Regions from separate parts of the Mus musculus genome. Here region 1 is reported to be linked to region 2. The links are microRNA targets in miRTarBase. Many come from high-throughput screens and were not tested one by one. Region 2 holds a microRNA gene; the other region holds the end of a gene's coding sequence.
What was found. Region 2 holds the annotated microRNA mmu-miR-681 (CAGCCUCGCUGGCAGGCAGCU, at 1,709-1,729, opposite strand). A microRNA usually pairs through its seed, bases 2 to 8, with sites in the 3' UTR of a target mRNA and lowers its output. Matches are read on the target gene's strand: a 7mer-m8 pairs with bases 2 to 8, a 7mer-A1 pairs with bases 2 to 7 and ends in A, and an 8mer does both.

Region 1: miRTarBase lists Helq as a target of mmu-miR-681. Seed matches in the 3' UTR shown: 7mer-A1 at 3,748-3,754.

What each region holds. Positions count from the first base shown.
Region 1 is chr5:100,758,574-100,762,965 of GRCm38, forward strand. It overlaps Helq (helicase, POLQ-like), which reads right to left. Exons shown (of 18, transcript NM_001081107.1): 18 at 3,575-4,063. The coding sequence ends at 3,926. Among named protein-coding and RNA genes, the nearest start is that of Gm36619, 34 kb to the left of the region's middle.
Region 2 is chr12:69,762,215-69,766,606 of GRCm38, forward strand. Mir681 (microRNA 681) reads right to left here and starts at 1,730; the gene lies at 1,621-1,730. The region is part of intron 3 of Cdkl1 (cyclin-dependent kinase-like 1 (CDC2-related kinase)); the gene reads right to left.

The DNA of each region.
Region 1 (4,392 bases), not on the chromosome of region 2:
TTTCGCTTAGGGTAGTTAGAACCCTTCCCCTCATCCCATCCCTAATTTTAATTTAGTAAACTAATTTTGAATTATAAACCTCTCTCATAGCCGGGCGTGGTGGCACAAACCTTTAATCCCAGCACTTGGGAGGCAGAGGCAGGTGGATTTCTGAGTTCGAGGACAGCCTGGTCTACAAATGAGTTCCAGGACAGCCAGAGCTATACAGAGATACCCTGTCTCGAAAAACCAAAAAAAAAAAAAAAAAAAAAAAAAAAAAAACCAAAAAAAAAAAAAAAAACAAAAACAAAAAACAAAAAAAACAAACCAAACCAAACCAAAACCAAACCAAACCAAACCAAAAAAACCTCTCTGATTAATTAGTGAGAATTAATTATTCAGAACCTTGCTTAATCGGGAAAACTAAATAAATAAAGTTGGGGTTTCCAGGTGTAACAAAACTGAGGAGTGATGTCCCTACTGGGAGCCTCTATTAGATGTTCAAAGCAGCCAGCAGTCTAGCCAGCTGCTCTTTTATATGTTTGACTGTAATAAACGGTATGTGCAGTGATGCCCAAGAGACTCCTAAATCATTAGGATGTCAGACATTGGTATGAGTGAAGAAGTTTAGAGATGGTGCATGAATAGGGATGCAAGGCCAGGATAAAGTCAAGGCTGGGGGTGTTGTGTAGCAGTTTCTTCTGAGGCTGAATCATCCCATCTCATAGAAAACTCCAAAGACAGAGGGGAACAACTCAAATAGCCTCAGGAAGTCCCTGAAACTGACCAGATTCACTAGGCCCCTCCCTCTCAGGGTAAGCAATAAAAGCCAGCCAAGGTGCTGAGAAGAGGCTTAGATGAAGTGAGCCACCTGGGACACTCGTCAACCCTCTGAGCAGCACGCAGGCTGTGCAGTGTGCTCCAGGTTCCCAACTTCATGAGCTGTCACGCATGCTGCGGTGAGATTTGGTGGTGCAGTTGTCTTTCAGTCATTTCTGCTCTTTATGTTAGTAATCCCAATAAGACATACTGGTTCACCAAGTGGGACTTTGGTGGTATCTGCAATGAGGTCTGTAGTGGGCTCCTTATCTAGGTTTAGTAGAGATGTGTGTTGTATCTCCCCAGGAAAAGTCTTGTCACGCAAGAGGAAAGTAACACTTGAAAGGGAAACACAGACAGAGCCACCAAAATAATTGAAGGGTTTTAGCAGGCCCTTCCCCATTCCCTCTGCCTTGTAAACAATGATTAGATTTCTAAAACTGGCCACAGGGTCTATTCCCTGATTTGGCCATTTCCTCCTCCTGAGGTTGACTACCAAGGTCCAACTAGCAAATTATTAAAGCCCAGCAATAATAATAATAATTAAAAAAATCCCCTTCACTCAACTAATTAACATGCCCATTTAAAATTAAACACCTCATCCTAACACAAGGTTTCTCCTTGTACCTTTATAAACTGCCATTTTCCTATGTGTCACGTCTGTCCTCTCTATTCAGAGGCAGTCCTTTGTCCCTCTGGGGTAAATATCCTCCCCCTCTCATGTTCCCGTCCCCTTCTCCCTCCTCCTGTCTCTCCTGTCCTTTGTCTCTCTGGGACAAATGAGTCTCCTATGTGTTGATAACCTGGTCATGGCGTCTTGTGCTGACACCAGTCCCTTCAGTAACCTTACATAACGCATGCATGAGCACCAGGCTGGGCACCGCACAGATCTGGATTCCTGTCTAGCAATTAACACTCTATGGCCTTGGGATTCCTGTCTAGCAATTAACACTCTATGGCCTTGGGATTCCTGTCTAGCAATTAACACTCTATGGCCTTGGATAAGCTACCTTAACCTCTCCAGTTCACTCAGCCACGCAGTGAGGATTCTAGCACCTGCCTCACAGCCCCAGGATGACTGCATAAGCGGCAGCTTCTGACACACAGTGAATAATACCATGTCAGTGAGTGCGGTGTTATCTACTACGTCAGGACACGGAAGGTGGCCGTGAACTTTCCTCTGAAAACCTTCCCATAGAAGTTGCTCAGGTGATCAGAACTTACCCAAACCAGTAAGTGCTTACCCAAACCAGTCCAGTGCTTGTAATGTTGCTGGGCCCCATCTTTCCTTATCCTGGCTTAGCTGCTAAACAGTTCTTAACTTGTATTTTTAGTGTGCGTGGGTGTTTTGCCTGCAGGTGTGTGTACTGTGGAGACCAGAATGGGGCGTGGATCCCCTGGGGTCAGTTATGGGTGGCTGTGAGCTGTCATGTGGATGTTGAAGCCTGGTCCCCTGCAGGAGCAGCCAGTGCTCTGACCACCAAGTCTCTCCACAGTCCCAGGTTAACTCTTTTTCACTATAATTCTGATAAAGGAAACATTGTACTTAAGAGAGTCTTGAAAAGAATTATTTCTGGTTAATTTTGGTGTATGTAAGTGTGCTTAATCATTTGCAAGTTTTTTTTTCTAATAATAGAGTTTATAAAATAAAAAAACCAGAGTCTTCAAATTGTTAACGTGGTTCTCCCCACAGACATTCTTATTCTGTAAATGGTGGTGTATGCTAGGTGGCACAAACGTTATTAGTGAAAACATAGAACATTCCTGAAATAACAGCGAAAGGAAAAGAAAACCTGGAATGCTCAGTGGGGAGCACCCTGTAAGGGCTACAGGGATGAGTATGGAGTAACTTCACAGTGCTCAGTGGGGAGCACCCTGTAAGGGCTACGGGGATGAGTATGGAGTAACTTCACAGTGCTCAGTGGGGAGCACCCTGTAAGGGCTACGGGGATGAGTATGGGGTAACTTCACAGTGCTCAGTGGGGAGCACCCTGTAAAGGCTATGGGGATGAGTATGGGGTAACTTCACAGTGCTCAGTGGGGAGCACCCTGTAAGGGCTATGGGGATGAGTATGGGGTAACTTCACAGTGCTCAGTGGGGAGCACCCTGTAAGGGCTATGGGGATGAGTATGGGGTAACTTCACAGTGCTCAGTGGGGAGCACCCTGTAAGGGCTATGGGGATGAGTATGGGGTAACTTCACAGTGCTCAGTGGGGAGCACCCTGTAAGGGCTATGGGGATGAGTATGGGGTAACTTCACAGTGCTCAGTGGGGAGCACCCTGTAAGGGCTATGGGGATGAGTATGGGGTAACTTCACAGTGCTCAGTGGGGAGCACCCTGTAAGGGCTACGGGGATGAGTGCGGAGTAACTTCACAGAGATAGGATTTGAGTATTGAGTTGACACTAGAAGTATATTAACACTTTCATACAATGATGATAACACATCAGTTAGGACACACAGGGTTCTGGTAATTTTGGTGCAAACTGATGGGCGAAATGAGGGTGACAGCTGAGCTTACAACGCAGCACCACAGCACAAGTCAGCACGTGTGTCAGTCGTTGGCACCTGTCAGCAAGAACAAGACACCAGGGGGGCGGGGAGAAGGTAAGAAAACAGTGAAAGATGTGAGCAAAGAGCCAGGTCAGGCTGGGTGTGCTGAGGAGAATTCTGAGCAGGAAACAATGTACAGGAACTCAGGACTAGGAGAAATGGGTTATCAGTGAGATGGTTCGGCAGTTACAGGTGACGGTAGACTTAATCACCCAGAGCGCCTTCTAAAAGCTCATCCACAGCTTTTAATGTATAATTAAAATACACATTTCATTTACACGGGGGATTTTCAATAATAAAATATATATATAATAAATAAGTCAAATTAAAAAACATACATCAGACAGCTTCATGGGGTTTTTTCTTTTGGAGACAGGGACTCATGCAGCCCAGGCTAGCCTCCAACTCTCAGTGTAGCTGAAGCTGATTTCTGACACTCATTGTCCGTCCTGTCTCCCGAGTGCTGCGTTACAGGTGCTCACCACTGGGCAGTTTACAACCCCCCGGCCTTTTCTTCTGTCTTGGAGGTACTGAGGATTTATTCCAGGGCCGGAGGCATCTCAGGCAAATGCCCTAGCTCAGAGTTACGTCCCCAGCATGGCTTCCTGCCCTTTCAGAGCTGGGACCCCCAAGCCCAGGGAGGTCTGCAGGCAATCTCAGTAATTCTTCTGCTTCTCCTTGCAGTGCCTCCGCCTTCTCATGCAACAGCATCTGCAATGAAAAACCCAGTCATGAGGCCAAATGTACCTGGCTAGAGAGCTGCCAACATTGTATGTCTGCTAAAACCCGAGTTCTGACACACAGATGGCTAACGCTGGGCCTGAAATAGTGAGACTGAAAAATGCCCACTTTACAGCCCACTTTACAAGTTCAGTAAATGAAGACGAGGTATTCTGCTAAAAACCATTTTAGCTGATCACAGCGTTCAGTGCACCAAAAATAAAGAGCTTTCCTACACTCAACGATTTGTTTCACAGAAGACTCAGGCACTTAAACAAAATTTATAATCTATAAAATTTCAGAAAATTTTGCAAAAATTT
Region 2 (4,392 bases):
ATGATTCTGTATCCTTAGTGTTCCCCTAATGCTGAGCACAGTATCACACCATCACATTTCTCAATGTAGAAACTGTTCAAACTACACGGTGTCACCTGGTAGCTACCTATTTCCTGCCTTTATTATTTCATTTCTCTGTAACATGGGAGCCTCAGATTCTAAGAATCTTCTTAGCTAAAGCACACTGAGATCATACCAGGACACCAGTTTTCACTATTGGGGAAAGGAAGAAAAATAGTATACTCTGCAACATCAGGAGAAAACTGGAAGAGAGAGAGAGAGAGAGAGAGAGAGAGTACACATATGTGTGTGTACCTATAGAGGCCAGAAGAGGGCATTGAATCTCCCAGAGATATAATTACAGGTGGTTGTGAACTTCCCAACGTGGGTCCTATGAACAAAACACTAGTCCTCCGAAAGAACAGCAATTGTTCTTAACTACTGAGCCATTTCTCCAAATCCACAAGTAAACTATTGAGTGCTGAGACTCTGAGCCTGCTGTCCTCGCAGGCTGGGAGACAGCTGGCAGTCAGTCACAGTTGGAAGGCTGAAGGCAAGCTCAGGGGCACAGATCGGAAGGTTCTGATTTGGTGTCCCAGTAAGTGGCTCAGCCAGGTAACTAAGTGCACAGTGAAGCTTGGGGCTTCCCATAAACAAAACCAGAGGCGATATGATGCTCAGGGGCAGCTTCTAATAAAACTGGGGACTGTGCCAATAGTGGTACAGACTCGTGATTCCAATTCTCTGGAGGCTGAGCCAGGAGGATCTCAAATCAAGGGCAGCCTGGGCTACATAGCAAAAGATTGTCTCAAAAAAGCAACCAGGCCTTGTTTGCCTGGAAGGTGACTAACCACCTTCCAGGCGAGCAAGGCAACCCATCCAGGTTGGAATAATATGATGTACAAGTTAGGAAGGCTGGAGGTTGTCTTCATCATACCCTCTGCCTTCTGCCATCCTAGGTAAATTATGAAAATCTGTAATACACTTAGATGTTTTGGGAAACTTGGGGTGACTGGGAAGAGCCCCCAGACTGAGACAGATCTTCCTCAGCTGTAGTCTGTGGTGACAAGGCTAAGAAGTTTGGTTGGCTTCATAGTGTGTGTTTCTATGTTGACAGCAAAATATGGTCTTGCTCTAGGGCAGAAGGTAGAGGGACTGGGGCAGTGGTAATGGGAAGAAGCCAGTTCCCTCCCATTCTTTCCTACCCCAGATATCTCCCACTGGAGTCCTGCTCAAACATATGCTCTCCCCTCAAAGGAATCACCAATGCACCAGAGCATGGCTTCTGAAAGAAGTTGGTGTCTGGGTCTTTTCCACCAGGCAACTGGGTGACTGAACTCTAGACAAGCCATATATCATTTTCTTCTAGGTAAGGAGTGCTCAGAATTTGACAGTCAAGCCTGGGGCCCCTGGAACTAGACTCCTGAAGAGTACAAATCCCCAGACCTACACATGAGGCCCTCAAGAGCCAGGTAATGCGTTTGAGAAAAGTCAGGCATGGGTGTTTGTTCCCTTTATCCTCCAACTCAAACCAAGATGGAGGGAACTTGGGAAGGCACACCCTTCCACTGGTAGTCACGTGGCCCTGTTTGGGTGAGGGAGTTGTCTTACTGAAAGCTACAACTGTCCCGCTGGAGGCCCTGGACTGCGAGTGAACTGAAACCCATCTACCTGCTTAGGGAGAGTGATGAGGACAGCCACACTCTGGAGCTGCCTGCCAGCGAGGCTGCACTGTGCTCTGAGGTTGTTGCTGTTGTTTGGAGACAGGGTTTCTCTGTGTAGCCCTGGCTGGCCTGGAACTCACAGCAATCTGCCTGCCTTGGGAAGTTTGTTTTATTCCAGAAACACAAAGGACTCCTCATTGCTTCACTTCTGGGGGTTTCTAGAGGGGGAAGGATCGTTAGAAATATCTACGCTAGATTTCTGAATGACTATACTACCCTTTTACCAATTAGAGACAGGTGTACTTGGAAAAAAAAAACAAAGGTAAACCCAGAAAAAGGAAGACAGGAAACCCAGGAAGTAAGGAATTCATCTGCAGAGAAATGCAGGGGAAACCGCAGGTGAGCAGCAATAGGGGGCCTAGGGGGACAGCTGGACAGCAGGCCCTGACACAGGGAACTAATGGCAGGATGCCACAACAAAATAATAAATAAATAAATAAGTACATACATACATACATACATACATACATACTAGCAGAGTCAGATGTGAGTGCCCTGAAGAAAAGTATGAGAGGTCATTTTGAAAATGGAAGAAATTATGGCTAGGGTTAAAGAATGTTAGGCAAATTAAAAGGTAAAGTAGGTATTAGTTTTAGGAAAAATATGATAAGAAAGTCAGGTGCAGTGGTGCCGCACGCCTTTAATCCCACTCGGGAGGCAGAGGCAGGCGGATCTTTGTGAGTTCGAGGCCAGCCTCGTCTACAGAGTGAGCCCAGCACAGTCAGAGCTCTATAATGTGACTTGCTAGTATAAGTATTTGGACAACTGGGGTAGGGAATTGGAGATGTGATTTAAGAGAGTGAAATCTTCATCCATCAAAACTGGGAGTCTGCGGGCGCTGGAGAGATGACTGAGGCGTTAAGAGCACGTGTTGCTCTTGTAGAGCACCCAGGTTCAGTTCCCAGAATCCCCAGGATAGTGCATTAGCATCCTCAACCTCAGTCCCAGGACACAGGTACCCTCTCCTGCCCTCTGAGAATACCAGGCACACGCACGGCACACACAGGAGCAAGATACCCATACAATAAATTAAGTTTAAAAATAGGAAGCCCACAATATCCAAAAACGTTAGGAAATGTCAATATCCCACTTTTTGTCTTACATTATCCGCTAATAATCTTAGGAGGGGGTTTTCACTGAGGCTCACGAGAGCTACTCATTTATCGTCTTCCTGACGTGAAACGCCTTTACCTGGCTTTTGCATCAGGAGAGGTGGACTCAGAGCATGACTTGGAAGTGTTTCCTTTGTACTTTCCTGGAGTTTGGATCGGGTTGCTATTCCTTTCTTATGCATTTGATGGACTTCACAAATAAAATATTTGAATAACAGAACCCAAGTTGGCATGGTTATAAGGAAAAATGTCTAACAGTTCACATCTTGGGTGGCAAAGTAAATTTGTTTGGTTTGGGGAGAACCTTAGTTCAAGAACTTCTAAATCGAAAGTTAAGAAAAAGGAAAACCTATTTGTAGGGGGAAATTTACGGTAGAATTATTGATCAGACCAAATTGCTGACAAGTTCTTGAATCTTCAGGGATGGGGGAAATGGCTAGAAATAATGCAACTCAATGTAATGGCTTACAGTAACCATAGGTCTAAAGGTTATATTCCTGTGTATATAAAAGACACACGAAAGTGTCCTAATGCAGCAGAGAACTCGTTCCAGAACACAGGGCATGCACTGCTTTCTCAGCAAGGCAGCTGGCAGACTGGCTGCTGTGGCCATGGTCTCTGGACCTCCAGACATCTGGCTTTGTCAGCATACCAAGACAGTAGCCATGGTGCCACAACAAGGTGAGCGCCAAGCCAACCTCCCAGCGCGGTACAAAACAGCAGAGCAGCTGCTTTCTCATACGTGTATAAACTGTGTCTGCTGGCTTAGTGCCAGGCGATGGATAAAACCAGTTTACCATCTTTATGAGGAGAAACGGATTGGGGTGGGGGTGGGGAAAACATGACTCCCTTTGTTGTCACATTGAGGCACTTTGGCTGCATCCATGCCCGCTTCTGGAGAGAGCCGTGTCAGTAGATATAATGCCTTTAATATAAGAAGTTCTTCTATTTAGGGTATCCCTGCTTTCCCCCCTGCTCTGTTGTCATGGTTAATTGTTGAGTATCAACTTGACTGCATTGAGGGGGACCCAAGAAAACTAGTGAAGCCCACCCCTGGCTCTGTCTGTGAGGGCTTTCCCAGTGACAACAAGAACACAAAGGCTCCGTCCTAGCGAATGGATGGTTTCATTAATCGATAGGTTTAAACTTTTGAGTGAACTATTAGGCAGGAGTGGAACTGTAGAAAATGGGCCTAGCTGAGGGAAGTGAGTCACTTGGGACATGCCTCTAAAGGGTAAATGTTGACACCTCTCCCCCCCACCCCCACTTCCGATTACTCCTCTCTGTTTCCTGGTTGTCAAGAGACAAGCAGTTTCAGCCTATCACAGGAACATCACGATATCCTTCCCTGCCTCAGGCCCCCAGCCAGAGAGCCAGTCAACCATGAACCAAAGTCTGTGAACTCATGAACCCAAATAAATCTTTCTTCATAAACAACTGTTTCTCTCAGAGATTTGACACAGTGTCAAAGAGTCTTCACACGCATGCACGCACACGTGCGCGCGCACACACACACACACACAAGTCCACCTATCTGTTTACGTCAGAGTTTTATC